Mytilus edulis: one gene and its partners. The protein of the gene in region 2 purifies or fractionates together with the protein of the main gene of each other region. This does not show direct contact. Links are inferred from orthologs where the notes say so. Each region holds a gene or a part of one and is shown on either strand. Other genes may lie near its edges. The genes, in order: condensin-2 complex subunit G2-like, structural maintenance of chromosomes protein 2-like and E3 ubiquitin-protein ligase HECTD1-like.

What was found.
Region 1: the proteins of structural maintenance of chromosomes protein 2-like (region 2) and condensin-2 complex subunit G2-like purify together in Homo sapiens (affinity purification with western blotting; 4 studies listed by BioGRID and IntAct, with this or other methods). This does not show direct contact. The link is inferred for Mytilus edulis from reciprocal best matches to the Homo sapiens genes SMC2 and NCAPG2.
Region 3: the proteins of structural maintenance of chromosomes protein 2-like (region 2) and E3 ubiquitin-protein ligase HECTD1-like purify together in Homo sapiens (affinity purification with mass spectrometry; 3 studies listed by BioGRID, with this or other methods). This does not show direct contact. The link is inferred for Mytilus edulis from reciprocal best matches to the Homo sapiens genes SMC2 and HECTD1.

The regions. Positions count from the first base shown.
Region 1 is NC_092345.1:41,427,247-41,438,184, reverse strand, and holds the start of condensin-2 complex subunit G2-like, read right to left. Parts: upstream 4,176-10,938; 5' UTR 4,052-4,175; intron 1-4,051. UniProt on the Homo sapiens protein: Regulatory subunit of the condensin-2 complex, a complex which establishes mitotic chromosome architecture and is involved in physical rigidity of the chromatid axis.
Region 2 is NC_092344.1:125,105,739-125,116,026, forward strand, and holds the start of structural maintenance of chromosomes protein 2-like, read right to left. Parts: upstream 4,876-10,288; 5' UTR 4,786-4,875; coding exon 4,618-4,785; intron 1-4,617. Other genes in the region: probable ATP-dependent DNA helicase RecS, read left to right, coding at 5,593-6,086, 6,610-7,675; uncharacterized protein, read right to left, coding at 7,694-8,830, 9,505-9,774. UniProt on the Homo sapiens protein: Central component of the condensin complex, a complex required for conversion of interphase chromatin into mitotic-like condense chromosomes.
Region 3 is NC_092346.1:80,550,099-80,561,214, forward strand, and holds the start of E3 ubiquitin-protein ligase HECTD1-like, read right to left. Parts: upstream 4,180-11,116; 5' UTR 3,751-4,179; coding exon 3,611-3,750; intron 2,279-3,610; coding exon 2,044-2,278; intron 797-2,043; coding exon 569-796; intron 15-568; coding exon 1-14. UniProt on the Homo sapiens protein: E3 ubiquitin-protein ligase which accepts ubiquitin from an E2 ubiquitin-conjugating enzyme in the form of a thioester and then directly transfers the ubiquitin to targeted substrates.

The DNA of each region.
Region 1 (10,938 bases), on a different chromosome or scaffold from region 2:
ATTTTTTAAGGAAGGATATTTGGAAGGTGTCAGGCTATAATAGTTATCATTAAAACAGTTTGAACTCCCGATTTCTATTATGTAATCGAAGCCTTGAATGTTGTTCTATCTAATCATGCAACGTGGTTGTAAATTCACAATTTTATAAACAAAATACTCTGCCAGGACCGACGGGGAATTAAGTTTTGGCTGACCCAAGCAGACTAAAATATTGCCGGCCATCAGGTCCTGCACAGCAACCAGTTTTGCCGGACCTGCATAAATTCTGCCCCTTAGGTCTGACAGGTCCGACGATTAGTTGCATCTCTGTTTGTTACAATGTATGATAAAAATTAAAGTCAATGAACCATGACTGAAGGCTAATCAATCTCCATAGAAATGAGATGTGCCAATGGTAATACAGATGCATACCAAATACCATTGAATGCTTCTTTAAGTAATTTCATAGGGATGTAAAAGCTTTGACCGTGCATACATTTTTAGAATGAAGTGCTTCCGCGCATCATACAAAATGAACTTTGCTTTTTTATATTTGGTCAACGTTTTACACCCCAATGAATATAATAATAATAATAATAAATTCTTTATCTAAAGAGGGTAACTCAATTAGAACTAGTCTAATTTTCATTGAGGCCCTCACACAAAATACATGCATAAAGTTAACATTCATTCATTCATACATTAAAATACAATAGGGGAGATTCGTCTAATTGATGACACTTTTTAAAATCCGAAAGTTTGGATACCATAGAGGCCAATTGCGGACATACTGGTGGTTGCATTGGACAGGAAAGGATAGAGGGGTATCAAACGGACTATTTCCCGCGTTTTTATGTCACCTCTCTTGATTGGTAGATTGGAAATATCTAAAACCCGCGGAAATGCGCAGTCATGTAAATGCGGACATAGGGAGTTAAAATACGGACACCTTGTCGTCAAATGGAGAACACTTATTTTCTTTAACTACTCTCGCCATTCAAAACGAAATTACTATATACAATTACCTTTCATGAATACCCTTTCATTGCATCTAATCTTAAAGCATGTCTGAAAATAGGTTTCGCTCGTAAATTTGTAATACACGTGGAAAGGTGAAAAAATAATAATAAAAAGTCCCTCTTTTATTTAAATTTCTTGTATCAAAATTAGAGTATAGTAAAATAAAGTTAAACAGTTAAAGGAAGTATTGATAAAAAAAGAAATTTCAACTATTTATTTTATATTTCTATTAAGGTATAAAAATAATGAAAAGTAATTTTTCAATATGTATTTGCATTCTATTTGCTTTCGATTTTATCTTTTTTCACCCCAAAAACGTAAATTTAAGGAACAATTTTGAATGGTGACAAATAAGGGGAAGGAACTCCAGTTGTTTTATTTACGATCTAAAGCTAAGGTACTTGTTTATTAACAATGTGTTTGACACCAAAGCTGTCAAGTGAAGCCATGCACTAAATGAGTCACTTAATTTGACAGTTTACACAGCTAGATGAACTTTCTGTACATGGAAGAATTACGAATTTGTCGGTATTTCAAGGGAAAATCACTTATGAAATCAATCTGAAGGCTAAGAAATCCAGGTGAAAACGGGTCATTTTCAGAATTCCAGGGTTTTTCAATGACCCGGCGGGTGTGCCGGTTGATCCCTCAAAATTGTGAAATTCTCGGGTCACACCCGCAGAATACGTGTCAGTTGACAGTAGAAAAAATCAGACTGCCAAATGCATAATATTTGTAATATGAAGAATGAAATAAAAAACAAATCAATCCAAATCTTTATTGATATCATATTTATGTATCGGATTCGCATTATTACTGTATATATAGATACTAAGAGAATTTTGCGTATGTTCCACATCATGGTATTGACATTGCACCACTACACTTGTCCAAAAAATCTTGTGTCCGCATTTCAGCTATCATGTTTTTTTGGTAGTGTAAATGCGGACATTTGCTTTTATATATTTTGTAATCGTATGTAGACAAATCAGTAAAAAGAGTAAACAGAAATGTGTTCTTACATATAATACTCAATGCCTTTTTCTTTTCAACACATAAATTAAAAAAAAGATTTCCCAGAACTATCAATGAAACGACACTTCGAGTGAATATAAAATATTCATGATATTAAAACCGGCACATTTTGAAAGACCCGAATTTCTGGATAATGTAAATCGAATGTTCCGGAAATTAGGGTCCAATGAATCTTACCGATTTTAATATTTTATAATTACCGGAAGAGAGGTTTCATTGATAATTGTGGGAAATGTTTTTGAAACAAAATAAATATTTGCCCGACTCAAATGGAATCGTATCTTATTTTACCATTTCTTCTAGATATTTCTGGAAATATTTTACATCAATAAGCACAAAAAAGGTAAAAATTTTAAACCTGCAAAGAAAATTTTATGTCAAAATTAGATCTCAAAGTTCCCCCCAAAATTTGCTCTCAAACTCCAGACGTAAAAAATGGCTTCAGCATTAGGACGTCATAGGCAGTCCCAGAAAAAAATTAAAATAGCCTTGCCAGATGTCATAATTATTTGGACTAGGTTTAAGCGTGATGCGGGATTGCTGATTTTTTGTAGGCATGACATGTGAAAGTCAAATTATTGTGCCGTGAAAACGAGAAATGAAGTCTAACAGGACACAGGAAATTACAAAAAAAATGATAATTGCTTACGTACATAGTGTAAGCTGGATACGGGAATCTAACAAAACAGTAAGCAGAATCTGTGATCATAACCCCCACAACCAAGGGCGAACAGACTCTATGCCACAGGCACTTGTTACTGTCCATGGGAAGACCACTATCAACGTATATTTACGTTGATCAGTTGATAGTGGGTCTTCCCATGCCCATGGATAGAAACAAGTACCTGTGCGCTGTGACTATGCGGAGTACATAGAGGAAACAAACCATTTTAGTGGATAATTTAATATAATACAAATTTCTTTTAATTTTTAATATTTTTAATTTTTTCATGCCATTTCGTAGTCCAGATAATCATGCCGTCTTCTGAGGGTATTTTTATATTTGGATTTGCAGGAGGGCGTCCAAAAAAAATTATAAAATAGCCGTCCAAGGCGTCATAATTATTTGGACTAGCCATTTCGATAACCTAATTAAGGTTCATCATAACCTTTTGGCTAAAATGGCCGTATTTACACCCCAAATTTTACTCTGAGTACACACTAACCTATACACCTGCAACAGTTTTAAGGGATGGCAGGAACTAGATATATAAATTTTAAATGCATTTTATGTTTCAGAAAATTATAAACTTTTCTAGATTTTGCTATCCATTTTTTTTCGTTCCTGCTGAAGGTGCAAAAATTAACTAAGTAGCGAAAACGATTGAGAAGCTCCAGTCATATAATCAATGTTGTGAGTAGTATTGATTTAAATGGACAATAGATGGACAATAGACACCTGTAAACAATAGGTGATTTAACAGGTTTAAACTGTGTAACTGAGTGGACCGTATCAAATGAAACTCGGGTGTTTGTTTATTTTGCTATCTTCTGCAGACTGGAAAAAAATGAACATCAAAATCCAGGTAAGTTTTTAATTTTCTGAAACGTAGACTTCATATAACTTTTATATATCTAGTTCCTGCCGTGCCTTAAAACTTTCCTTGATGTACCAGTTTGTCTGTACTCATAGTAATTTTGGAGGTGTAAACACGGCCATATTTTTCAATTCCTTATGATGAACCTTAACCATTTTTTTCTTTTTTTTTCACTTAACACATTTATATAATTCTATAATATTTTTAAAGCGCCACCTACAATATCTAAGTACAAAGGAGTAACTACATTAGTGATAATAATTTTACAAGAGAGGATAAATTATTCACAAGAGAGATTACTCTGTCATCACGACAAAGATAATTTGAAGATTAACTATGGCCTATGCCATGGAAATTAAATTAGAAATGATTTATGATACACTCTCAGTTAGCTCTTTGATCATTTATAATCAGCTTTTATTCGTGGAGCAGTGACAGATATTCAGATCACAAAACAAAAACAAGAATTTTTTGTTTACTTTTTTCCAATGTTGATAAATTACTTGAATCTTCTAAAACGCGCCTCTCGTTTCCAGTCTCGTCGGGTCTCACCAATTACCAATTCAGTCTCAAATAGGGACAAAATCTGATACATGTTAACTCGTACCTTGAAGCTTCGGCCTCTCATACTCAACCAACTCGTACCAAATATTTTTCTGTGCGATGTGAAAATGTATAAGGTAATACTTTTAATTTTTAATTGTAAAAGTCAGTATTATTTTGTAAATTATCTACTAGATCATGTAGATTGTCTTCAAAACTGATTATTTGTCAAGTTGTTGAAGTCTGATCAATGAGTAAAAAGGTTAAACATAATATGTGTTGAATACAATTGAAGATACATTCCATATATCGCATTACACTATGAATACTATAGAAATTAAATCAGACCGCACGCGTTTCTAAACATTATTGAAAACCATATGTCCACGTTCACTATGCTTTTGATAGAAGTAGGTCTATTTCTATTCAGTATATATACTCATCAGTGATGAGTTAATTTTCATCTGATTTTTACATTGCGATGACTGTGAGGGCATTCCGATGTATAATGCCAAAGAGATTTGACTTTCGTTTTTGACTGGTAAACGATCGTATCAATATTTGTGTGTTTTTAAATTTATTTGTTATCACTTGATGTTGAGATAATCATGATAGACGATTGCATTTGCATCAGAAAATTTGTGTAGAGTAGTAGAATTCTTTTGTATATGGACTTATTTGATTCCAACTGACCATTAAGTTCATTCATTGTTCCTCCTCCGTGCAGCAATCAATTAATAGATATTTCTTCTTGAGTCATGACCACTCAATCTATCCTGTGATTGGTGGTGTATTGGCTTTTTGTAAACAATAGCTAGTGAGCTGATTTGTAAGTTACAATAACATCTCCATGCCTTATATATCATGTACTGTAGTAGTACGACGCTAGATTAAAACTGACGAGGAAAGGTAACACACGACCACCGAAAGCTTTATTATTGTGAAGCCCAGGTGGTCGTGTGCTTTAGCGGGACGGCTACAGTGCAGGCGATTTGGTGTCACGATAGCTCAGTAGCATGTATCTATATATATATATACAACTCGTCTAAACATCAACCCAACAATGTTAGATCTGTAAATTTGCTTTCGCAAATTTTTGGTTCTTCCCTCGCCTGGATTCGAAACCATGCTACTGAGATATCGTGACACCAAATCGCCTATATAGATATATATAGAGAATAATACATGGCAAAATCCGTATCATATGTCGTATCATCCCGAGACATCAATATCAGCCCAAGGGCCTTTAGGCTATGTATTTTTCATAGTTGCATTTAATGTGCCAAAAAATATGAAAACTTGACGTTCGTGACGTCACATTCAATATGAAAACTCGACGTTCGTGACGTCACATACCAAACAATGACGTCATTCAAAAAATTTACCTATTTTGAGGGAAAAAAAATTTAAGCAAAAAAAAAAAACCAATGTAAAAAAAAAAAAAAAGTAGGGGTGTGATAAAGGGTATGCGATAAAGGGTGCGCATCAAAGTTGCGCGATATGGATTAAACAGCAGGCTATTTATCACATATGCAAAACTACTGTATTTACTACTAAACATATGATAAATATATATATCGTCTAAACATCAACCCAACAATGTTAGATCTGTAAATTTGCTTTCGCAAATTTTTTGTTCTTCCCTCGCCAGGATTCGAACCCGTGCTACTGAAATATCGTGACACCAAATCGCCTGCACTGTAGCCGTCCCGCTAGATCACACGACCACCTGGGCTCCATAAAAATGAAGATTTCGGTGGCCGGGTTTTATCTTTCCACGTCAGTTTTAATCTAGCGTCGTACTACAGTACATGATATATAAGGTATTGAGATGTTATATATATATATATCATAAGCCCAATATTTATATTTATCATATGTTTAGTAGTAAATACAGTAGTTTTGCATATTTGATAAATAGCCTGCTGTTTAATCCATATCGCACAACTTTGATGAGCACCCTTTATCGCATACCCTTTATCACACCCCTACTTTTTTTTTTTTTTTTTTTTATACAGAAAGTCCGGTTCTATCTATGTAAGCTTAAGAAAAAATTTCCTCAAAATAGGTCCAATAGAACGGTCATTTGGGCGTGACGCAATTTATTGAATGACGTCATTGTTTGGTATGTGACGTCACGAACGTCAAGTTTTCATATTTTATATTTGCACACTAAGGGAGCTACCATTTGATTTTTATGGGGGGGGGGGGGGGGGGGGGGGCTAGGATGAAAAATTTTGTCCTTCATTTTTTTTTAGTTGTAATCTCTGTCCTGCCTTTTTATTGTCCCTTTAATAAAACATTTTCCTGTTTTCAATACTATATTTAAGTTGTTGAATTGTTTATAAGATGTTTTCGTTAATTATAAAATTATAGAGAACTCGATTAAGTATTTATATATACTGAAAAATTGAACTTAAACTCATGGCAGTATTACTACGACTGTTCTTCACTCTTTGCCATAAAAAAATACAACTAATCGAGTTTGCTTTAGTCGTTTTGAAGTTATGCGAATTTGCCAAAACATGGTTTCTCAATGAAATAAACATAACAGTTGTTGAAAAACTGGTCATTATTGTGATACAACCTTCGGCTCAGTCATTATCACTATCTTAGTCAATACCACCGTCCTGTGGGTAGTCCATATATCACGATAATGACCAGTTTTACAAGAACTATTATATAAGTAATAATTTAAAACAATTAAGAAATATTAAAAGCTATATTAAACCCCAAAAAAACTCATATTACAACAACCTGTTGATGGATAAGTTGAAATCTATTGATGATAAAAGTAAATTATTTTTTTATAAAGGACTTGAGCCAAATCTATTGATCCTTACCTCTCTAACCCAAACTTTGAATTTAGAAAATTAATCACAAAACTTAGAATCAGACCATTCAAGGAAGGCATTTTAAAATTCCTCGCGAAGAGAGACTTTGCAAAAAATGCAAAGTACTAGATGATCACCGGAAACATTTCTTAATAAATTGTTCTCATAATTCAAATATTAGATTAACATATTTTAATTGCATTAACAGAGAAAGTAATTCATTTGCTAATCTCACTGACAATGATAGAGTTATATATATACTTAACCCATCAACACCAACACAAGTGAATAAACTAGGATCCTTTATAAAAAAAAGTCAATGGAACTGAGGACAGGGGACCCTTTAATATTTACCTGAATTTATGTATATATATTGAGTTACTTAGTTATTGTCTTTATTTGTTTTTGTTGTTGTTATATGTCACAAACTGTATAGTTTATATGGCAATAAAACTTTGAATTGAATTGAATTGATATATATTATGCATACGTTGGGGCTATCTGGTCAATATCATTACAAAATGAATTCCCAGTAAAGTTTGCACGAGGGCAATAAAACATTCAAGTTTTTAAAAAAAATAACAAGCATTTAGGTGAAAATTACAGAGGGAATAATTTCTGTGCATGTCATCTTAAAACAAAAACAAATCAAGCTGGTTTGGTTTTGTCGTAAAGACAAGGTTTATTGCTTGTTAATCTCGGTATATATATCATAAATCGTGACAGTTTATCTTTTTAAAGATGACCTACCATTTTACTCCTTTAATAATTCTGACATTTTGTGTCATTCTTTCAAAAAACCATATCAATATTTGTAATTTAATATCTTTAATGTAAACAGAAATACACATATTATTTTAAAGGCATTGCCTGCTAGCAATTGATTATTGTTTAATAATCCAATTAAAATCAAGCATAAATATTTCATAAATACTCTGTATGTAGTATCATTGTCAAATATTCATTTGAAATCGATTTTAGCGATCATAGTTATGCACAAACAATAGACTTTAAAAAGGATTGTATATTTATTTATCAGAAATAGATTTACAATAATATATAGCTGAAATTTGTCTGTCGATATTGAGGCAATTAACACAGAAGAACATAATTGTTTATAGAAATTATCTATGTGAAATGCAGAACATGGAAACAGGACTAACACATTCGAATACCTTTTCCGAGAAAGAAGAACAGGAACACCGACAACATGGAAAGGTAGGGTACAAAAACAGAACACGTTACTCATCGAAAACAATGTCTCATTTTGAGATAATGGAATCTTGTGACAGACTCTCTAAACCAGAAGAAGAAACCGGATATACAATCAGAGGTCCGACTGCACATGATCATGTTTGCAAAGAACACAGTTTGATGCCAGCTAAAGCAAAATTCACTGGAGACAAAAAAATGAAATCCAAAGATATCCAATCACTTGTTGATAGGCTGTCTAACATAAGTGGTGTGCGATGTTCTAATCAGCCGGATATAAGGCCAGTCAGAGGTGTGGTCACCGGCAACTCATGGAGTAGATACGGAAGAAAGTGGACAAAGTCTTCTAAAAACTCTTTTGACGATTTAGCCAGGAAAGTTTACAATGTTTTAAGTGGGAAATTCTGAAATCAATGATCATAACAGTTCATAAAATTCATTTGTTATATTGAAAATAATTTTGCCCTTCTTTTGTGAAATATTAATTTTGTATTTTTTTCAGTTAGAGATCAGCTAAAAATGCGGTCTGATTATTTTCTATAGAAATTGAATGAAGGATAAATATACATGTATGTAAAACATTTCAACAACACAAACTCACTTAAACAGTTATCTGTATAAATATCTATATGATGGATAAGGTTATACCATACTTGCTCAGACTCGATCCACCCACATTGCAATACAGTTACTAGTTGGGAATACATTTTAAATGAAACTACAAATCACCGAAATGATGGTCAATATGTTACTAGGTTTACGAGGGATAAGGTGGACAACTTATTTTAAGCTCTAAAATGGAGAAAATCACTCTCGTTGATATTGTATACATACTCAAGGCAATTAATAATTAATAAATAGTTAAAATCAAATAAATAATAATGGAGTCATGTTTTACCAACGTGTTATGTCACAATAATGATATCTATTGCAAGCTAGTATCATCTTATGTTTGGAAATGTAAGAATTATAAATATGCTAAATATACATTTTTTATATTAAAAATGTACTATACGCCGATATAGCAACAATAACTGCAAAATTAATGACTTAGACCAGAAAAGAAATTTCGAAGGTGAAATATGGTTAAAATCAATCTAATCGGAAAGTTTCAAGATAATTCTTTTTGTAAATAATAGATAAAGTCACATCTTAGCATAATTCTTAGTTTTCTTACGTAAAGAATAATTAATTCCTTTAGTCATTTCAATTAGCGCCTATTCAACTTAAAACTTAAACGACATATTTGTGTTACACGTACTGTGTTATTCTTTTGTTAATCCTTAAAAGTGCTTTTGTATTACTTTATTGTCATTCGGTAATCCTGATTTTCTATCAAACTTGGACAGAAGCTTATTTATGATCAAAAGCTTGAATCTAGGAGTAAATTTTGTAAAAAAAAGATTTCCTGATCTTCCGTATATTACATGTACTTCAAACCTATACTAAATTCGTCCATAGATATAAAGATTTATTTTTGAAGTTTGGTTGTACCTATAGAAAACTTATTTCAAACGGGATATCACATCCTTATTTTATGGAGACACTGTTTTCCGAGCCCGGAAATTTAAAAACCAACCAGATAAATTTATGAACTATCGAAAAGGTTACCAATTCAACATTGTAATTAGATCTTTGAATATTTTTTTTACTGGTATTAATATTGATTTTGTTATCGGTAAATTTAAATCAAACTAAATATCATTGTTAAAAAAATATGCATGGCTCCCCAATCTGTTGGTACTTGTATCTCGGCATTATTGCACTATGTCATGTTTATCTCTGACTGTTTATTGCGTCTTTACACGTAAATCCATAACTGAATGTTGGATGTGTATAATATGTACTGATTGATAATTTTGTCTTAGATGCATGTTTTTTTTTTTGGTTGTTATTGCCTTTAAACTAGCTGTCATCTGTTTTTAACTACATGTACTTACTAATGTACATAGTTTTTCTAAGAATCTTCTTACAACCAAATATAGTTTATAGTATCTAGATTTATTTCTTATACCCCCCCCCCCCCCTTTCTTGTTGAGCCTTCGACTAACAGCAAAAGTAGGCGAGACACTTGGTTCTGCGGAACATAAAATAACATGCACATTGCAATGCGGGTCGGATAAATAGCCACTCGGTACTTTGATAAATTAAAGTTGATTTGCAACATCATAACGTGCCAATATCTTCGTCTTATTTAGAACAACCTATTCAATTTAACCCGCAAAAATGACAATAAGATAACTGTCCATCAACTGAGACCAAATGACGCGAAAGTTAACAAACATGGGTCACCGTATGGCATACAACAATGAGAAACACCCATACGGTATAACAAGCTAAACAAGGCCCCGAAATGAAAATATAAAAAAATATTAACGACCTGATTTATGTTTAAAATGAAAAACGAAAAACAAATATGATACAAAGCAACAACATACAACCACCGATTAACAGGCTCCTTGATTCGGTACTGGCAAACACATTATGGCGGGGTTGAACGTGTTTACAAGCGCCCCTTCCCCCCAAAAAAACAAAAACTAAAAAAAACTGGTATAACAGCACCACATAAAAACTATAACAAGAGGCTCTCAAGAGCCTGAATCGCTCACCTGAATTTTTTTGGTTTAATCTCTCATCAATGATTATTTTGGCTTTTCAATTTATTTAAATGTTCTTTGAATCGTCCTATTTTCTTCAAAAGCAAAAAAAAATCATTTTCTCCTATGTTCTATTTTAGCCATAGGAGCTATGTTTCTTGACATACAAGGAAATGAAAT
Region 2 (10,288 bases):
TGTTGAGCGTATCTAATAAAATCTATAAGTTGGTCAAAACTGATTTCAATCACAGACACTTGTTTCTATTCATATTGGAAGACCCCCTATCAACGTATATTTACGGAAATATACGTTGATGGGGGTCTTCCAATGGATTGAAACAAGTGTCTGTGATTTCAATAAGAAAATTGATACAAAAATCGGACTTTCGAGAGCTCCGTAATCGGCACAATAATAAATTATTTCAATTTTGTAAGTTTATTATCAATTCAACAAGCATCTCTGTTTTCTTCATGTTGAGCGTATTTAATAATATCAATATTAAAGTTAGTCAAAACGAACTTCAATTTAAGAAAAAATTATATAAAAATCGGACTTTCGAGTGCTCCGTAATCGGCGGAATTTACAATAGAAGAACAATTGCGATATTTGATAGAAACCTTTCTTCTTCTCGATTTTTCATAAAGGTAAAGAATCAAATTATTTTTTTACTTTTGATGGTCATTATTTTTGAAAAAAGATGTAATAGACTGACAAGTGTTTGATATTTTCTTCTTGTCATTTCCGAGTTGGTCAAATTTTTTTTTCTTTCGTCGGCATTTTGCGTGTTAAATGAACGTTATTTTATAAATAACAAATACATTAGAAATGAACACCGTTCACATTTATTTTATAAATTCTATTTTGCATCGTCAGGTGTTAAAATAATCAATTCATTTAACTTCGATGTTTGGTGCTTCAGGGCAAAGGGATTAGACAGGGTCGTAAATTTCACCCGATTAAGTAATTGACTCCAATCAAATAGGTGATTATATACAGGTAACAAGTGTCAACAATTTTAATCTGTTGTCTTAATGAAGTGTGTGTATAAAGAACTCAACAAAATGGCGACGATATGATGAAAAAAGATCGGTTTTTTTTAACTTTTTTTCAAAAGGGCACAGAGGGGCCCTTAAAAAATGCAGAGGGGCGCAAAATTTCGGGGGCGGGGCGCGGAGCCCCTCCATTTCATGCTAGCTGGAACACTGTAGTATATTGGTAGATGAAGAAATTTAACATTTGTGAAGAAGAAAGAGATTGAGCTTCTTTTTTTTTTATTTTTAAATATGAAGAATATGTATAAGATAATGTATGTATCTGTTTTCATCAAAGTCAAAGTATGAATAATCGAATGGAGATATATATGGAGCGGGCATAAGGCCAATTAAAATTAATTGGTAGATTTTCATCCCCGCCCGCCCCTCTGAAATCGTCCCGCCCCGATTTTTGTTATTTTGAAAAATTTTCGATTTCCGGATTTGTTCATCTCCGTTTCCGGTAACCGTCAAAAATTGTGTTTCCCTCCAAACTTCCTGTTTCAAATTTTGAAATAAAAATTAAAAAATAAAATCCTCCCACCCGCCCCATTTTTTTCAAAAATGTGGATGAAAATCTACTAATTAATTTTAGTTGGCCTAATGGAATATAATATTTTCACGGATTCATTTGCTTAATACTATGCTCTAAGTGTAAAACATTTACATTTCAATTTCTTTTCCTCCTGTTTGATTTCAGTTCTTTGTATTTCAAAATTTGTGTCAATATTTTCAGGACAATGATGCACAAATAATTCATTTTGCGAGCTTAATATATCTTGCACAAAAAGAGTTTTAAATCAAAGAGCTGAAAGCTCTGAAGAAAAATGACGCCACTGTCTCTAATATAGGGATAGTTTTTATGCAAGTCTTGATTTTCACATACCGTAATTAGTTTAACAATGCAACATGTATCGTAAGCATATAATTGATATTCGTATATGTGTGTGTGTGTGAAGTGAAGGTGACAACTGGCTGGTTTTTTAAGACAAATGAATAGGTCAAGACTAGCTGAATTGTACAAATAAATACCGTAGAAAGGCTTGTATATTTCTCACTGGTACATAGTCTGAATCTGAGTCCGTTTGCTTCCATTCAAGTTTGCGCCCACTCATTTTCACCCCTTTCACTTTCACACCCTACATGTTCACACCCAATCTTAATTGGTTTTGTGTTTAATAACTATGTAAGCAAGTGTTTTCTTATAAGTATAATTGTTGTCATTGTCTCAAAATAAAGTGAGACAGCAATTTTTTTTTTTGTGTTGAATAAATCTTAATTATGTTTTGGATAAGGTATTGCTAAAAATAATAATAATCCTTTCTAAATAAAGTGGTATTTTGTCAACGTTTTATTTTGTGTTGAATAACTCTTAATCATGTTTTGGTTAGTGTATTGCTATAACTTGTTTCATTGACTTGTTTCAAAATGAAGTGAGATTCTGACTATGTTTGTTTCTGCGTGTTGAATAAATTTTATCATGTTTTGGTTATATTAGTGGATTGCTATATTTTGGTTTCTATGTTTTATTGTTTCGTTGTTTCAGATCAATGGGACCAAGCTGTTAAAAACAATTATCTTTTGTGTTTTTTCCTTTAAAATCTTCAATGTTTTACTCATACCAAGCTATAAATACATTCAGTATTTACACCAAAGCAATTTAAAACAACAACCATAATTTTCCAATTATTCAACTTGAATTTGAATTAAAATTGGGCATGAATGAGTAGAGTGTGAATGTGCGAACGTGTAGGGTGCGAAAATGTATTGGGCACAAACAGACCTGATGCCACACAGTCTGAACCCCCTTCTCCCACAAAATATTAAGTAAATAATCTTTTTGTTACTGCTATCAAAGGTCTAATGAAACTCAGATAGTTTCAAACATTTGTCAAAGAATTCTAGTCAAACTGGCACCTAGTTAAATTGGCACCTGAACGTCGTAGGAAGGCGTCCCAGAAAAATAATAAAATAGCCTTGCCAGACGTCATAATTATTTGGACTAATACATGAGATATTGTGTATTTTTCTGCATTATTTTAACCAGTTGAGCATTTTACAGGATTGTTGGTTTAATGCTGTTTAAACTTTACTGAAAAACAAACACCTTAAATTTGCTAATTATTTGGCATGAAAGTTTGATTTATTGAAAGGGACTCATAGTTTTCCATTTTATTTTAATAATTGACTTGTTTTTACAATTACACAAATTGTCTAAGTGTAATTGTCTAATTGTTAAAACAACAGCTTTGGTAAGGGCTTCGTTGTTTACCTTTATACACTACATATTCACTTTCGTTTCGTGGTTTACCGAAATACACAACAACATATTCACTATGTACTTGGTAACAGTAATTAATTAATTGAATAGAAAATATTATATCAAATATTATTGGATGCCGAATTGACGTCGAATAGGTGCCGATTTGACTAGATGCCAATTTAACCAGGTGCCGACTTGACTTGTACGTTTCAATTCCTCTGCGATCGTTTGCGGTATTTTCTTGAGAAAACCTATTTTCCATCATCAAAGAGAAGAAGAAACTGCTTTAAAATGATTCTGGAACGCTTCATGATTGTTAAAATAAGTTTAATTCACTCAAAAACAATTTTAAAACTTGCGATTAAACAGGAAGTTTCCAAAGCACGTGTAAAAGAAGAAATTAACCGGTGAGAGTGGAAATCCGTATATGACAGACATCCCTATAGTACGACTTTGAAAGTAAAACAGTTCAATCCTTTTGTAAAACAATCTTTAATATACCTATCACATTAATGTTTAAATGGTCTTAAGCTTATTCAAACCATATAAGTCGGTATGAAACACCAAAACGGAATGAACAATAACCGATTACGTTTTGTAGTTTACAAATTCTAAAACTGGTTCCCGTCAAACTACAACACTTTGTTCGAGTGTAGTGGAATACAAGCAAAAACCAGTGTAAACTGGGTCCTGGCTGGTTTAATACTACACAACGATGCATAATGATAACACAAGCAGGTTCCAGTTTGTTTGGAAAATAGGAAATACGAAACCAAGCGCGGTAGGCAGAGCAATGTAATGAAGTTCAGGTCGGCAGTTATGGAACAATGACTGCGTCATTTTCCAAAAACAAATTATAAGATAAATAGTATGTTCTAAAACACAAGGAAAAGTAATCTCATAATACAATAATTAAACGTAATACTGGCTGTTATTCATAATAGATGATAAAATATTATGTAAATAATGTTTCATTTTTTTCTATCAATTTAAACTTTCTTGTCGCTAAAATTATTTTCTTTTGCATATTCTTTTATTATTTATTGCAATAATTAATTTTAATTTAAAAAAAATGTTTTCTTGTCGCTTCTTGTCGCTAATTAGTAAGACCGCATTTTTTCATCAAAGTAATAGCTGACACATTTTCGTATCCAATCATTTATTAGCAATTTTATTATTGATTTTTGAAGATCATCCAATCACATTAACCGTTATAAAGTGGCTACACGTTAGTCGTTACGAGTCCAAAAACCATGAGGCATGCACGTTTACCAAAATATCGTAAACTCTGACCTTTTATCACTTGACCAATGTCTTGACCTTAGAAGCCATTAAATTGTTTGCCTTCCAACTGGACCAGGATAGAAATTATTTCTATTAAAATGCACCAATGAGAACAGTTGTGCCATACGGCCAAAAGATAGAGGATTAAAGATATCCACAGTACATCGTGTTAACATTCGTGTGAGCTTGTGTAAATTAAAATATTTGCTCATTAATGAAAAGAAACAAACTTACATGAGAAAGGTTTGTGATTCCTAGCAAGAAGCAAATAGAATCCAGAATATTTGATTTTCCACTGCCATTTAACCCTGTTATAGCGTTAAAAAGGGGATCAAATCCGTTGATTTCTGTTCTTTGAGCATACGACTTAAAGCCGTCTACGACCATAGATTTAATATGCATTGCCAAAAGTTGTAAATGTTGTTTTTAAATCATCTGTCTGTTTTCATTTCAAACTGGCGCTCAAAAATAATAATGTACGCGCATGACTGAACGGAAGTAAGACATTAATAATACGAATCAAAACAATTGACGGTTGTACTCGAGATACTATTTCCGGATAAAATATTTTCCAACCGTGCTGGATAGGAGGACCTTTTTCGGTTATATGGATTGAGCCGTTTGACAATTCGGAATAATTCAATTATAAAATTGCATGGACGTCATGATTTTATAACATCGTGATGTGGGAACAGACACATTATATTCACTAGCAATTGGGGACAGTGGCGGATCCAGAGGGGGGGTTCCGGGGGTCCGCACCCCCCCTTTATTTTGGCCGATCAATGCATTTGAATCGGGACATATGTTTGCACCCCCCCTGCACCCCCCCTTTGCCCTGGGCTAGCACCCCCCCTTTCGAAAATTCCTGCATCCGCCACTGGGGGAGCTGGCTTAATTTAGTTCAACTGACTATAGTATAATGATACATTTAGTGGCACTTAGACTTGCTACAATTCCCTTTCTAATATTTCTCTCTTACTAATTTATATGTTTACTGATAAGTGCCAGCCTACTGATTGCCCTTGGAGAAAGGGACTTGTATAATAACATTTTATACCGACCAGATACTGGTCGGTAAGAGGTTATTATTTCACATCTGCTGATAATAGATAATTAGACTGTCATGTGTATATATCCCATGCTGTTCTCCCATATTTTATCTCAAGTAGATTACAATTTCACTTTTCTTATGATTCTTACATCAAAATGGATACAGATGTCATATCTGCTGCAATAGATTTTGGATTACAAAAGTTGTCATTTACTGAAATCAAAATTAACCAGAGAAAAGTTGTAGAAAGCTTTTTGGCAGGCAAAGATGTATTTTTCTGTTCTCCAACTGGAAGTGGCAAATCACTAACTTTTGAAATAGCACCTTTTGTATTTAAATATTTACAGAAGAATGATATGTGTATTGTACTTGTTATTTCGCCTCTAACATCTTTAATGCGTACACAGACTCAATCATTGAATAGAAAAGGGATTAAAGCAGTATATTTGAAGGACATTACCTCACCATCGAATTTTGAAGACAGCCTAACAAATCTTTCCTTAGTAGATGTAAAGGATGGCAAAATTGACATTATTTTCTCCAGTCCAGAGTCACTTATTGGACATGAAAGAAAATTACTATTGGATTTGGCAAAGAAAAAATTTATCAAGACAGTATTTGTAGATGAAGCTCACTGCATAAAAAAGTTGTAAGTATTTATTTTTGTACATATAATAATGTATAATACTAAAGTAGAAAAACAAATCATCTGAATCGCTCTAACATAAGCTATAACATACATAAGAATAAATATGTATATCTTAAAAACAGTACATGCATACAAAAGAACATCATATATTTATAAATGTATATATATCTGTACATGCAATAACTATTTAATGTTTATTTATTCAAAACATTCTCATTTAATTTTACTTTTAATAATTAATCACCTTTTTATTTGAATATTTCTGTTATTATTATGAAAGATTATTCTGCCAATGGTATCCAAATTAAAAACTTTCAATTCATATTGTGATGTTTTGAAAGATGTATGAAATATTTGCTACTGGACTGTTGGATATCTACAATAATTAAGATTTTATAAATATGTTTTCTATGGTACTTACATAATTTTTCTTATGAAATACTTCGTTGTAATGCTTAGGCATTTTTATGAGACCTATGCAGATTTATATTGCAATATGATTAATTAATTTTAATTTTTTCAGTGGGCTTCCAGATAAAAAGAAGAAGAAATTGGCATATAGACCATGTTATGGCCGACTTGACGAAATTCGTTCACTTGTTGGGGGTCATGTACCAGTAGTGGCTCTAACAGCAACAGCTACAGAGGAAACCAAAGCTGTCATTAAAAAGCAACTTTGTATGGATAACTGCACTGAGATTATGGTAAATCCCGACAAAAAGAATGTAACATACTGGGTACATAATTTACCTTCAGATGATATTTGCACCAATTTTAGATGGTTAGTAAATTTATTAAGAGGATATAAGCAGGCCACTTCAAGGATGATTATATTCTTTAGGCAAATCAAACACATGGCAGACGTATATGAATATCTTGAAACATCCCTTAAGCATGATGCTTACATAGACTTCAAAGAGGGAGGACCAAATGATAACAGAAATCGCCTTTTTGACATGTTCCACATGAAAACCGATGATGACGTAAAAGATTTTATTTGTACATCCTACATGAATCCAAACGGTAATATTAGAGTTGTTCTATGTTCAACATCCTTTAGCATGGGTCTAGATGTAAAAGGTGTGGATACAGTTATACATTATGGTCCAGCTAATGATGTTGATGACTATGTACAAGAATCTGGTCGTGCTGGTAGGGAACCTTCACAACAATGCAATGCTATTCTACTAACTTACAAAAGATGTTTAGGAAGTCAAAATATATTCCCATCTATGAAAGAATATGTTAAATCTAAAACCTGTAGACGGGCGTTTATTCTAAATATATTTAAAACAATTGTTGAACATGCACATATACCTCACTTTTGTTGTGATATTTGTCGTCTCTCGTGCAAATGTGCATGCAGTTGTGAAGATGAATGTGTATGTACAAACACTTGCAATCAAGTTCTCCCTAAAATAAACACAGCTATTATGTCAAATGAGGACAATGATGATAGTGATGATAACGATGACAATGACATTACAGAACTGGATGATATGTTTTCAAGTGATAGTGACAGTGATGTTTTAGAATCGTCAACAAGAAAACCACAAGTCATTTACAGTTCAGATGATGAAATGTTTTGAAACAATAAAATTGTTCTGCTAATAGAAATGTTTATTTTGAAACTTTTTTAAACTAGCACCAATCCAGTCTCTAACAAACTCCATGTCTAGCTCTGTAAGGGGATTTTCCTTCATGTTTGGATAGGCATAATGTGATCGGCCAGGAATGAAATCGAATAAATTACATGCCTGGAATTGTCTGACCAAAGTTATAATGTCAATTTCCTTGTCACATGTTTTATGTCGTCCTGATGGAACATGCACGTTGCACATTTTGTCAAACTGTTTGATAATTTCGTGGACTTTCATAGCACTCTTACTGACTCTCGAAACCACTTTCTCAGTAAAAACACCTCTGTAACTATGGGCAGAATCTTTAAATACCTTATTACAATGTTCTACATCTAAATCATTAGGATGATTTGTGTTTGCGTCCCCCTTATGTTTTACAGTTCTGTTCCATATCAGTCTGTGTGCCTGGCGTTCTGTTAACAGAACTTCAGTTTGGGCTATAGTTTCCAAAGTACCAAAGGCGTATTTTGTACAATGACAATATTTATAATACAAAACAAGGAACTGGTCAATTCTCAACATCCTTGATCCATCACCCATATGAATTGCATCGTTGTGATCCATTCGTAATAAACCCAATGTTAAAACCAACTTTGTATATGCACTAACTCCATCAGATTCATTTTCGTTATCCTTGCCACTTGATACTTTTTCCTTAGCAAAAAGGGGGTCATAATGACCATGAATGGAGGATTCGTGTTTTCTGAGGGAATGTGGTTGTTTGTACTTTTTTCCACAGTATCTACAATTATACGTATTGCAATTTGGCCCATATTCTGGAAGTTTTGGTATTTCTGGCAATGTGAATGTCTTAACAAACGAGCGTGCCTGATCAAAAATATATTTTTTCATTTCATTTGTATTCCCAACTGCACCCTCATACACATTTTTACAGGGTAAAGAGTCTATACTTTCCATTCCAAAATGAGTAAGACCACCTGTTATAATATATGCTGTGGTAACTTTCTCAACAAGATCAGAAGCTGCATAAAAATCATCAGCCGGATCTTGGGTAACATTTCTTGCATTTATGGTATTGCGTGCTGCATACAGAGTTCCCTGGTCTCTAGCTGACGAGGTTGAGTAGAGCAACTTCCAAATGACCTGAAATTGAAACAATCAGACAGATTACGGGTTTAACAATGAAAAAATATGCATTTCTCAAAAAATAAAAGTGTTTTTCTGAAAAAATATATTCAAAATAAATATCAACTTACAACTTAATCTATTTCAAATTATCTTTCTTATGTAGATATAAAAAAGAAGATGTGGTATGATTACCAATAAGACAACTGTCAACAAGAGACCAAAATGACACAGACATTAACAACTATAGGTCACTGTACGGCCTTCAACAATGAGCAAAGCCCATACCGCATTGTCAGCTATAAAAGGCCCCGTATTGACAATGTAAAACAAAACACATATGTAACACATAAACAAACGACAACCACTAAATTACAGGCTCCTGACTTGGGACAGGCACATACATAAATAATGTGGCGGGGTTAAACATGTAAGCGGGATCCCATCCCTCCCCCTAACCTGGGACAGTGGTATAACAGTACAACATAAGAACAAACTATAAAAATCAGTTGAAAAAGGCTTAACTCATCAGATGGAAAAAATACAATTAGACGTGGCCAGGTACTTGTACATCCCGACAACAAAAAGACCCTAGGAACATTTCTGAGAGTACTCTCAGTTATCTGACAGCTAGTTCAAAGCCACTAACAACTAATAAAAAATCATGCATCTTAGAGTATTGTAGACATTACCTTTAGCAACTCTCCCTGGTTGTGAAATTCTTCCATTTTAGGTACCAGTCCCTCTAATCTTTTTGTTGGAGTTCGACCATTTCGTTTGGATGACTGTGCCTGTTTGTATCTCTCAAAAGTTAAATAGTCTCCTCCACTCAAGACTTTTTGTGGCTGTTTTGTCCAGTCATCTGTTTCATTGTGTCCAGGTACATACTTGTGCATAAATTCACAAATGTCTGTCATATCTTCGTTGTATTGCTCACTTTTCATCAAAACTCCCATATTTATCTATTAAAAGCAAAATGAGGTACATGAAATTAAACACAATCAAATATAATTCTTATATGCATGTATAGTAAAAAAATTATTATATGTTTTGTACTTAAGTATTAATACTTTTTAATATATCAAAAAAAAAGATGTGGTTATGATTGCCTATGAGACCACTCCACAAGAGACCAAATGACTTTGAAATTAACAACTCTATGTTACTGTACGACCTTCAACAATGAGCCCAGTTAAGCATATTATTACTTTTTAGGGTTATAATCTTTTCGACTAATTTATATATATATATATATACTATTGCTTGATTCTTAACATATATATCAACAAAACTTAAACTTATAGTGGGTTTATTGAAATATTTGTATAAATAGGTTTTTTGCTAAATATCAAGAGATAAAATGAAGGACACCATAACAAACAGTAATTTTCGAAGACTTAATTAAGATGCAGGATTTGAAAGTAACCATTTTTAAACACATACATGTAGGGTAGCCTTTTCCCTTTGTGAACCAAA
Region 3 (11,116 bases), on a different chromosome or scaffold from region 2:
GCTCCATCTGCTACCTGTTTAAACATACAAGTATTACATGATTTAACCAAAAGTTAAATTTGTACAGTATGTCTTTCCTACTTCATCTCTTCACTTTATATATGTAAGCATTCTCACATGCTTTTTTATATGAAATGCTTGAAGTTTCTATATAATGATCATGATAATTAACACTGTCATTTTAACACGGTAAAATGTCCTTATCCATGGTACAATGTATTGCTGTGTGTGTGTTTATTCTACATTGGCTAAAGGTAAAGGGGGAGGGTCAAAATCTCACAAAACATGTTCAACCATACTACATTTTTGAGCTTGAAGGCCCATTGGTGGACTTGGGCTGTTTTCTGCTCTTTGTTGGGGTTGTTGTCTCTTTGGCACATTTTCATAAAAATTAAAATGTCTGAGAAGTTAGGTACTTCAACTATTTTAATGATATTTGAACATTATAAAATTTAAAGGGATTTGTATAAAGTTATAACCCTGGAGGCCACGCCCAATGCATTATTCAATTTATTATGCAAGTAGATTGGCTATTATTTCCAGTTGGTCGTAAAATATATAGACTTACAAATTGATCATCATGTTCTAGAAGAGTAGACAGTGACTCTACACAAGTCTCCAAGGATTGGTCTTGGGGTTCCATCCTACCACAGAGACGAGAAACTACAGACATTGAAGAGTGTAAGGTATCCTTATGAACCTGTGATCCATGTTCTCTGATAAAGGTGAGAACACACTGTAGTCCTCCAGCATCAAAGACAGCTCCTGATTCTCTGGTACACATTCTCTCCATAACCTATAGAATATAGTTAGAATGGTGATTCATGTAAAGTTCTATTTAAAAACTGAGGACAGAGGGACAAATGATGAACTCTAACATAGTGCCTAGTAGTCTACTAAAAAGTTAATAAATTTTTTCAAGACATTTATTCATCCATTAATCTCAAGCAGTTAAACTCATAATTATAACTAATATAATGAAATATGACGAAAAATAAAACTTAAACGATGCATGTTGGATTTGTAGTTTTTATTAAATCAATAAAAATTATGATAATTGTTCATTACAAATTATATAATAGACTTCTTTCTAGGTATTTCAAATCTTGGTGTAGGGACATATTTAAAAAAATGTTTGTATGCCAAAGCCAGAGTGCCATAAAAAAAAGATTGTGCCCAAAAGGTAGGTTTTTTTGTTTGTTTGGTTATTTTTGTTTTTTTTTAAATGTTAATGGACTTTTTAATAGTAAACTCAGTAAAAGAATTGTATATTTACAAATTTTATGAAATTCACATTCTACTACATGTAATTACTAAAAAGGATTAATAAAACAAAATCTTTTGTAAAATAAATAATATATCAATCTTGTGGCCAAATCAAAAAGGTTATCTGTCTTATATAAGGTTAATGAACTGACAAGAACTTGTTCTCCAATTTTATTATGTACAACAATGTAATCATTGTATTTAAGTTTAGTTATCACATTTAATCAAGGCTTATTGTCTAAAATAAACAACAGGACTTATTCAAATCTCTGAAGAAAGGGATTTAAAACAGATGCTTCATAATCAGGGTCTATCACAGCATAACATGAAAAAATACTCAACAGTAAATTACAAATGTAACAAAAATACAATGTCACTCATCACAGTTACATATGCATATTTTCACTTAATTCATTGGATTTGGCAAGAATGAAATACTTCAAAAGCTTAACTTACAACTTTTTTTTTTAACATAATGATATCAAGACATTTTAAACACTTATTGCACTGATTTACCTACATGTACAGTACATGTAACATTATCTAAAGAAGACCTTATAATTCTAATTCTAGGACGGATTTATCAAGTCTGACTGTAACATTGTAATTCCAAGGGTACCTGTTAAACTTCATACATGTACAATGTGGTTATAAGGAATTTCAAATACAATTGATATAAAATTAAAAGGGATCAGACTTGGCAAAAACCATTTATAAATAATGTAAATTTAAACATGGTGAAAAACATGGGTGATTTTCATAAGCATTTACATGTACCTTTATACATTGTTCAGACAAATCTCTACTGGTCCTTGATGACATTTCAACAATCACCAGTCTATTGCATAAAGCTTTAATAGCGCCATCTACAGCAACAATACGTCTGGTGCACTCTGCCGATACATCTAAGTAGTAAGTAATGGCCCTTGCTGTCACCTCAAGCACGTTGTCTGGAGCACATTCATCCAAGAAGATACGACATAAAGCTGGGAGAAATGTCCTTGGTGGACAGCTGAAAAAAAAAACAGTTTCTTAAAAACATGTACATGTACATGTTAACACAGAATTATAGAGTTAAAACTTTAATAGACCTGTCCTTCAAAAGATGTCTGATTTTCTAGACATAAGGCCACACCAATTTGATTTGTAGTGCTTTCGACAAATGCTCCAAAAAATATATGGCAAGCAAGCAAAATTTGTTTGATTGTAATTTATTTTTGTTTGACCAATGAGTTTCTTTAAGGCGACTGCTCTACAAGCATGACAAGTGAAGAGAGCAGCAATACTGCAATATACTTTTTTTTAAATTGTGCGAGTAAGAATTTATGTCCATGTTAAAACTGTGTTACTTCATAGAAAAACAAGGAGAAGCGTGCTAAATTGCATATAGTTATATTTACTAGTGCCTGTACCACAACTGACTTTCCTGTCTTGCTGTGGTTTAGTTAATTTTGATTGTACATGTACATGTAACCCTTTTCACTTTGAATTATTTTTCCTCAATTCAAATTTATTTTCCACTGTATATCCGATTTCAGGGATTGATCAGAATATATTTCAGCCATGATGAGAACATTGACAATTTTTAGGGTATCTAAAATGTACATGTACATGTATTTGAAAGTTTAAGTACCTGGACATGTACATTGTATGAAATTTCTTAAGCCTTATCAGAATGCCACTACTTCATGTACTTTCGCTTTCAACTTCCAACTGCAGCATTACACATAAGCTTCCAAACTTTGTTTTATTTCTGTCACAGTGACTCAATTCATTTAATTCAATTCAAAGCTTTAGTTATAGTTGGCATGATACATAACAAATAAACAGAGAGCTTTTATAACCGACATATCCATACATTTACATAATAATCATACACAATACTAATAATAAAACATAAAAGACATAGAACATACATTTCATGCACATTGACATGTAGTTCTACATGTGACAATATATTCAGTTTGGTTATAATATATGTTATACATGTACATGTTACAGTGTTATCCCCAGATATTTCATGTAGCATCCTGGGTAACAGGGGAAATCGAAACACCATCATGTATCTAAAAAATATAGAATCACACCCATAACACAACCTATAAGACAGTCTTCACGCTGAACTGCTAAATCTACAGGCCTACAGCTCAATTTTTGAAATTTTTTTAGTTAGATTCTGTTGGCCTGTAGGTCTGATTTTTACAGGCCTGAGAGCAATTTTACCAGCCTGGGCTGCCACTCGTCGTGAAGACTGATAAGATAACCATTGCAGATATTATCACATAACCATGATATGAAAAGGTCCTGGGGAGAACACTGCATGAATAAATTATATAAATTTTACCTTTCAAATACTCTGTCAACATTGTCAGACATCAACAACAGCATACACAGTTGTTCTAGGGCAATCTGTTGCATATCTCTTTCGTCTCCCTGTCCCATTTGCAGCCATTCTAACAACGTCTCTGGGTCAAAGTCTGCCATTGTGTCTGGGGGTCTGGTCTGGCTTACCTTTGTCTAAACTTAGTTTAGACCTCTAAGGTTGAAACCCCAGCAGGGTAACCCCCTTTTTTGGTAAGTTCAGATAAATAACTTTACTCCAACCTATCACGTTTATGAGTACAATAAGTGACACGGAAATTCTTTGTGACTAATGAATGAGCACTCGAAAGTGCATGCATTCGACGCAAGGAAATTATCCGATCATACAGCTTGAAACCTTCGGACTTTCTTCCGTGTCAAATGACTGAACACATGGACTGGAACAAACTCTTGTGTCCTTTTACAGAAATTTCAAAACATTTCCACTAAGCTATCTACTACTTTAGTTATTAAAAGAAACAAAGGAAGGCACTTTTGTTTTGCTCTTCACCTTCATAAACTATTTATAGCCTCGTTGTGATCGCAACATCCGGTTCATAATCTAAACACCGGAAATGGCTAAAAAGTTAATTTCCCGCGGATTATAATTTAATCTTTGCTTTGTAAACAAACAAATAAAAGCTTCCTAAAATAATTGTACTTCATCATTTTTCAACATTTCTCTTTACTTTTTTTACAACATATCCACTTTTAAAAAAAAACACGAGAAAATTGTATTTAAATTCAGCATTTTTTTGTCACCATGTGAAAAACTTGAATGTTTTAAATGGATTACGGACACTTGGTGGTCTATTCAAATCATTTGTTAGTTTTGACTTTTCCACCCTCTACAGAAATAAAGAAAAAACGTTAATTTTTTTCTCATGGACAACATTTTAATATACATGTACTTTCGACAATATTATTGACAAGTTGTTGGCTTTCCTACAATGAGGGGGGATAAGACCTTTATCGGGACTCCGGGATCGGGTGTTTTTAAGCTCGGGATTTCGGGAGTTACTACTTCGGGATCCGGGAATTTTTTTTTTCAAATTTCGGGATCCGGGATTTAACTTTATTTAAATTCGGGACCTCGGCATTTCGTGTTTTTAAGCCCGGGATTTCGGGATCAGGACCCCTCCTACCCCCCCCCCCCCCCCCCCCTATAATGGGCACAAATTGCAACCCTTTCATGGTATCGGGTCAGTTCGCCCAAATAACATGTTCGTCCTGGGTCCGTTTGCTCTGAGTTCGTTCGCCCTACTTAAAAAAAAATAAACCAGGGTATTGGAGTTGATATTCAGATAATTATATGGTTTATATTCTTGAAATTTATGAAAACATGGAAATATTTAAAAGTTGTTGGCTAGTTTAGGATAATTTTAATTAACTAATTGTTCAATGACTTGATAATTCTCACTGATTGTTGTGATACTTGTCTTTTGATGGATTAATAATAACAACAGAGACATATATATGTAAAATTGAGAAAGGAAATGGTGAATATGTCAAAGCGACAACCACCCGACCATAGAGCAAACAACAGCCGAAGGCAACCAATGGGTCTTCAATGTAGCGAGAATTCCCGCACCCGTAGGTGTCCTTCAGCTGGCCCCTAAAATATGCATAATAATACAGTGATAATGGACGTCATACTAAACTCCGAATTATACACAAGAAACTAAAATTTAAAATCATACAAGACTAACAAAGGCCAGAGGCTCCTGACTTGGGACAGGCGCAAAATTGCGGCGGGGTTAAACATGTTTATGAGATCTCAACCCTCCCCCTATACCTCTAGCCAATGTAGAAAAGTAAAAGAATAACAATACGCACATTAAAATTCAGTTCAAGAGAAGTCCGAGTCTGATGTCAAAAGATGTAACAAAAGAAAATAAATAAAATGACAATAATACATAAATAACAACAGACTACTAGCAGTTAACTGACATGCCAGCTCCAGACCTCAATTAAACTGATTGAAAGATTATGTCTTCATCATATGAATATCAGGTACAATCCCTCCCGTTAGGGGTTTAGTATCATACTATCATAAAATATATGAGAAGAACATAACCCGTGTCATGCCAACAACTGTTTTTTTAGAAATAAATGTGTTTAGTTCCGATGCAAAGACCCTATCAGTGAATCAATGTTAAAGCCAAAATATGCAATCTTTAATGACCTGACAACAGTATCGTAACTATATCCCCTTTTAATAAGTCTATTTAAAGGTTTTGTTAGTTTCTGAGGAGAATACTGACATTTTTGTGCTTTATAAAGAATATTTCCATAAAATTTTGGATGTGAAATACCTGAACGTATAAGATGTCTGAATGTTGAGTTATATTTACGAATTATTTCCTTATACCGGTGATAAAATTTAGTAAATGTTTTGACCAGTTTACTAAATTTTTGATATGTGTATATATGTCTCTGATAACAACAAACGTTTACTTTTGTTTTGATAAATAAAAACAATGATGTACAAACTGTAAATCATGAAAAAGGATTAAATAGTTCATTTATAATACTCGGAGACTAGTCTCAGTTATACTACATTAAAATAAAATTGAATATATACAATTTGTTTGTTAACAAATATCTGAGACTACGTCGAGACGCGACGGCCATAGGATGTGTCGGCCATACCCCCACATCGTCCATGGGACATATATCGGCCACACATTGTGAGACGTATCGTCCACACTTTAATTTTTTTTGATTGAGGTTATAACATAAAATATAATAATAGAATAAATATTTATTCATATAAATAACAGAAATATAATTTATTTAGTAATTTTTTTCTGCACAAGAGATCTACTGTGCACCTTTATTTTATTCTTGTAAGAGTTATCTTTGCTCAGTTGATCATCATCACTCGTTGGGGCCATATTATGTATGTATATTGTTTATTTCTTCATTATCATTTATAAAGACTTTCTGAAGAATCAATTTTATCGTAATGTGATATAAAGGCATCTTATTTTATATGAAGTTTAAACTTTAGGAATGTTGACTGTCGCTGTCGATGACGATATATAAACACAAGCACATGTTACAGATCTTTTTATTATAACTTTTAAAAACTATATTATTCTAAACATTTAACAATAAAAATCTTCTCAATCTCAATCTTGGTCAAATTTAAAACAGGACTCAGTGTAAAGGTTAACTGCTAAGGAAGGCAATTCATTCGAGTTATATTTGTCATGATCATCACATGGTTTAATAATTCTGTATTTTTCTCTTGATTACCTTGTTTTATATTTCATAACTAATCTTATAGTTATAATTTTGACAGAAATTAGTCTCCCATTCGGATATAGTCATTCATTCCTTTCATAGCAGTTTTTTTTTGTATTGTTGTTAATCCCAGTTTATGACAAACCGCAGTAAAGATCCTTCGAAAGTCAATTCAATTGATAAATTTGATAGACTTATCATAACCTTGATGATAATTTTGTTATAACTTGAGTTAAATTACACTATTGAAATTTACTGAAGGGAGAAGACACTATACATTTATTACTTTGGGATACCATACGGCATATTTTGTAAATAGTGAACAAAAAGGTAAAACATGCTACACAGTGTAACACATGATCCGTATGCTGGAGTTTCTTATTGACAACATATTTGTTGAATTTGAAGGTAGACTTTTTCAACAAATTATCGGCATTCCTGTGGGAACGAACTGTGTGCCTCTCCTTGCCGACCTTTTCTTGCTTTCATATGAATCGGAGTTCCTTCGGACACTTTAAAAAAACAAGAAGATCAAAGAAGCCATGTCATTAATTCCACATTCAGATATATTGATGATGTTCTTTCCATTAACAATACGAACTTTTCTCATTGGATTCCATTAATATATCCCACAGGATCGATACTGTTACTTCCGCCTCATTTTTAGACTTATACCTAGAATTCGACATACACAGTCATTTCAGTTCCACAATCTATCACAAACGAGACGATTTCAATTTTGAAATTATCAATTTCCCCCATGCACCTTAGTAGCAATAAAACATGTACCCACTTCAGCTGCATATGGGATATACATTTCCCAGCTTATTCGGTATCCAAGATCTTGCACCTCCTACTCAGACTTTGTAAAACGTCACCAGTGTCTGAGCAGAAAGTTGATGAACAAGGGCCACGGTATGTCAAAGAACGTGTCGTCCTTTTTTTTCAAAAAAAGGTTCATCGGAAGGTACAAAGACCTTGTTGATAAATATTCCGTATCAACATCACAAATAATACACGATGGTCTTAAAGTAAAAATTATGGGTACTGACGTTGTTTATCATCGTACTAACGTGTTATAGTATTCTTTTATTTGTCTTGATGTATATAACTTTTACTGTTTAGTCTTTTTTGGGGGAATATCCTTTTGACGTGACTCTGTACTTTTACATGCTGTCATTGTATTATTGTTCTATGCTATTTTTGTATTCTTGTCTTTCATTTTTGCTAATCCATTCGAAATGATAAAAACAATAAGTATCAAAGGTACCAGACTTATAATTTGATACACCAAACGCGCGTTTGAGCTTTCGTATATGATAGACTAATCGGTGACGCTCAGATCACAATAGTTAGAAAGTTAAATAAGTATAAAGTTGAAAGGTATTGAGGACCCAAAATTAAAAAAAAGTTGTGCCAAATACGGCTAGGGTAATCTATGCCTTGGATAAGAAAATCCTTAATGTTTCGAATAATTCATACTTTAGCCAACAGTTAATTTACAAAAAGGACCATTTGATGTTATCCATGTCAACACCGAAGTGTTGACTACTGGGCTGGATAATCTCGGGGACGAAACGTCCACCAGCATTTCATTATTGTTAATTGTTTTTTAATGATGGTGTTCCCTTTGCTTCTTCTTGTAATTTGTATATGTTACAGATATTGAAAAAAAAGTTTGACATTTTAGATGTCCGATTCGGCCATTTTATATATTGAGTAATTTATTTTAGGCATTTTACAAAATGCTTGGAAAAATAGAAAGGACTGAAATTATTTTATTAAATGTATAAGTTAAACAAGAGTGCACACGCTGAAATGTCTCGCCTTCTTTACTAATCATTGATATTATGTTGATAGTCCTAAATATAAAGCTTTATTACAACTGTCACATAAACTCAACATTAACCAAGAAAACTAAACATTGATCAGTGAACCATGAAAATGATGTCAAGGTCAGATGATCCATGCCAGGCAGACATGTACAGATCACAATTCTTCCATACAACAAATATAGTTGACCTATTGCTTATAAATTAAGAAAAACAGACCAAAACACAAATACTTAACTATAACCACTGAACCATGAAAACGAGGTCAAGGTCAAATAAAATCTGCACGACTGACATATAGATCATAAAATATTTCCATACACCAAATATACTAGACCTATTGCATATAGTATTAGAAAAATAGACCAAAACTCAAAAACTTAACTTTGACCACTGAACCATGAAAATGAGGTCAAGGTCAGATGACAACTGTCAGCTAGACATGTACACCTTACAATCATTCCATACACCAAATATAGAAGACATATTGCATATAGTATAAGAAAAACAGACCAAAACACAAAAACTTAATTATAACCACTGAACCATGAAAATAAGGTCAAGGTCAGATGACACCTGCCAGTTGGACATGTACACCTTACAGTCCTTCCATACACCAAATATACTAGACCTATTGCTAATAGAATCTGAGATATGGACTTGACCACCAAAACTTAACCTTGTTTACTGATCCATGAAATGAGGTCGAGGTCAAGTGAAAACTGTCTGACGGGCATGAGGACCTTGCAAGATACGCACATTCCAAAAAGAGTTATCCTATTGATTATAATAAGAGAGAATTTAACATTACAAAAAATCTTAAACTTTTTTTCAAGTAGTCACTGAACCATGAAAATGACGCCAAGGACATTGGACATGTGACTGACGGAAAGTTCGTAACATGAGGCATCTACATACAAAGTATGAAGCATCCAGGTCTTCCACCTTCTAAAATATAAATCTTTTAAGAAGTAAGCTAACACCGACCGCCGCCACCGGATCACTATCTCTATGTCGAGCTTTCTGCAACAAAAGTTGCAGGCTCGACAAAAATGAGCTACTGCAAATATTGAACCTGAGAACATTTTGATCTTCGACAATAACTGAATTTTAACGCTTGAATATTTTAAGAATCTAAAGTTTAAAAATAATTTCTTCAGAATTACTGAAAATTAACAGCCCTTAACTAGACAATTCATTAGCTATTTCATATTATGTTTCGATGGCATGATCTTTTACACATCTGTCCTGATTATTTGGGAAATACATTAATTGTTTATTGTTTTGGTAAAATCCAGACCATGATACATTCAGCTCTGTTACTAAATATTGTTTCTGATAAAACACCCGAAGTTCAAAATTATGGGTTTTTGTTTTTCGTGTATTCCAAACATTTCACAAAATAAACATGGTCATGGTTCTGCTGATTTTCACCTTTTGGTTTATAAGCATCTAAGATGCAATTCTTTGCATGTCTGGTGATATATTCATACTGTAGGCGATGCTTATTATATCGATACACCCGGTGTCGCTTCATATTGACTTCATGCAATCCTGCAAGTTTGCGTTTGTAACCTTACGTGATTTATCCCTTCTTGGTTGATTTACAACATTTTAACATCGATAAATTATACTATTGCCTAAATTCTTCAGATTGTAAAGACCAAAGAGTTACCATGAGGCAATACAGATGGAAGACTATCATTTATGAATCAGAACCATATTCGGCATTGTGTGGAGATTCTCATGGAGAATCATTTTGGTTGTATAGGATAATAGGTACTTACTTGTACAAAACTCACATACAAGTATATGTATTAGACATTTCATATAACGCCCGTCATCGTTAGACAATTTATAAAATTGCCTGAATTTAGAAAATGTCTATGCCCGTATGTATTCAGTGACGTTTTGAACTTGAATGAATGCGATAATATATGCATAACTGATAAAGTATCAAGTCGGGGATTGTTGATACCAGGAATCATGGATAACTTAAAACTTGTCCTAAATGTTTTAATTCTTTTTATAAATACAAAGATATTGCTTGGAAGTTTGGCTTGGCTCTACTTGTACAATTTTATCACAAAAAAAAAATCACAAAAAAACTGAACTCCAAGGAAAATTCAAAAACGGAAAGTCCTTAATCAAATGGCGAAATCAATAGATAAATAAAGGCAACAGTAGTATACCGCTGTTCGAAACTTATAAATCGATTGAGAGAAAAAAAAAGCCGTGTTGCAAACTAAAAACTGAGGGAAAGGCATCAAATATAAGAAGAGAACAACAAGTTAACACACCATTAAAATGGTACACACACAGAAACGAACTATAATATAACAATGGTCATTTTCCTGTCTTGGTACAGGACATTTTATGAAAAAAATGGTGGGTTGAACCTGGTTTTT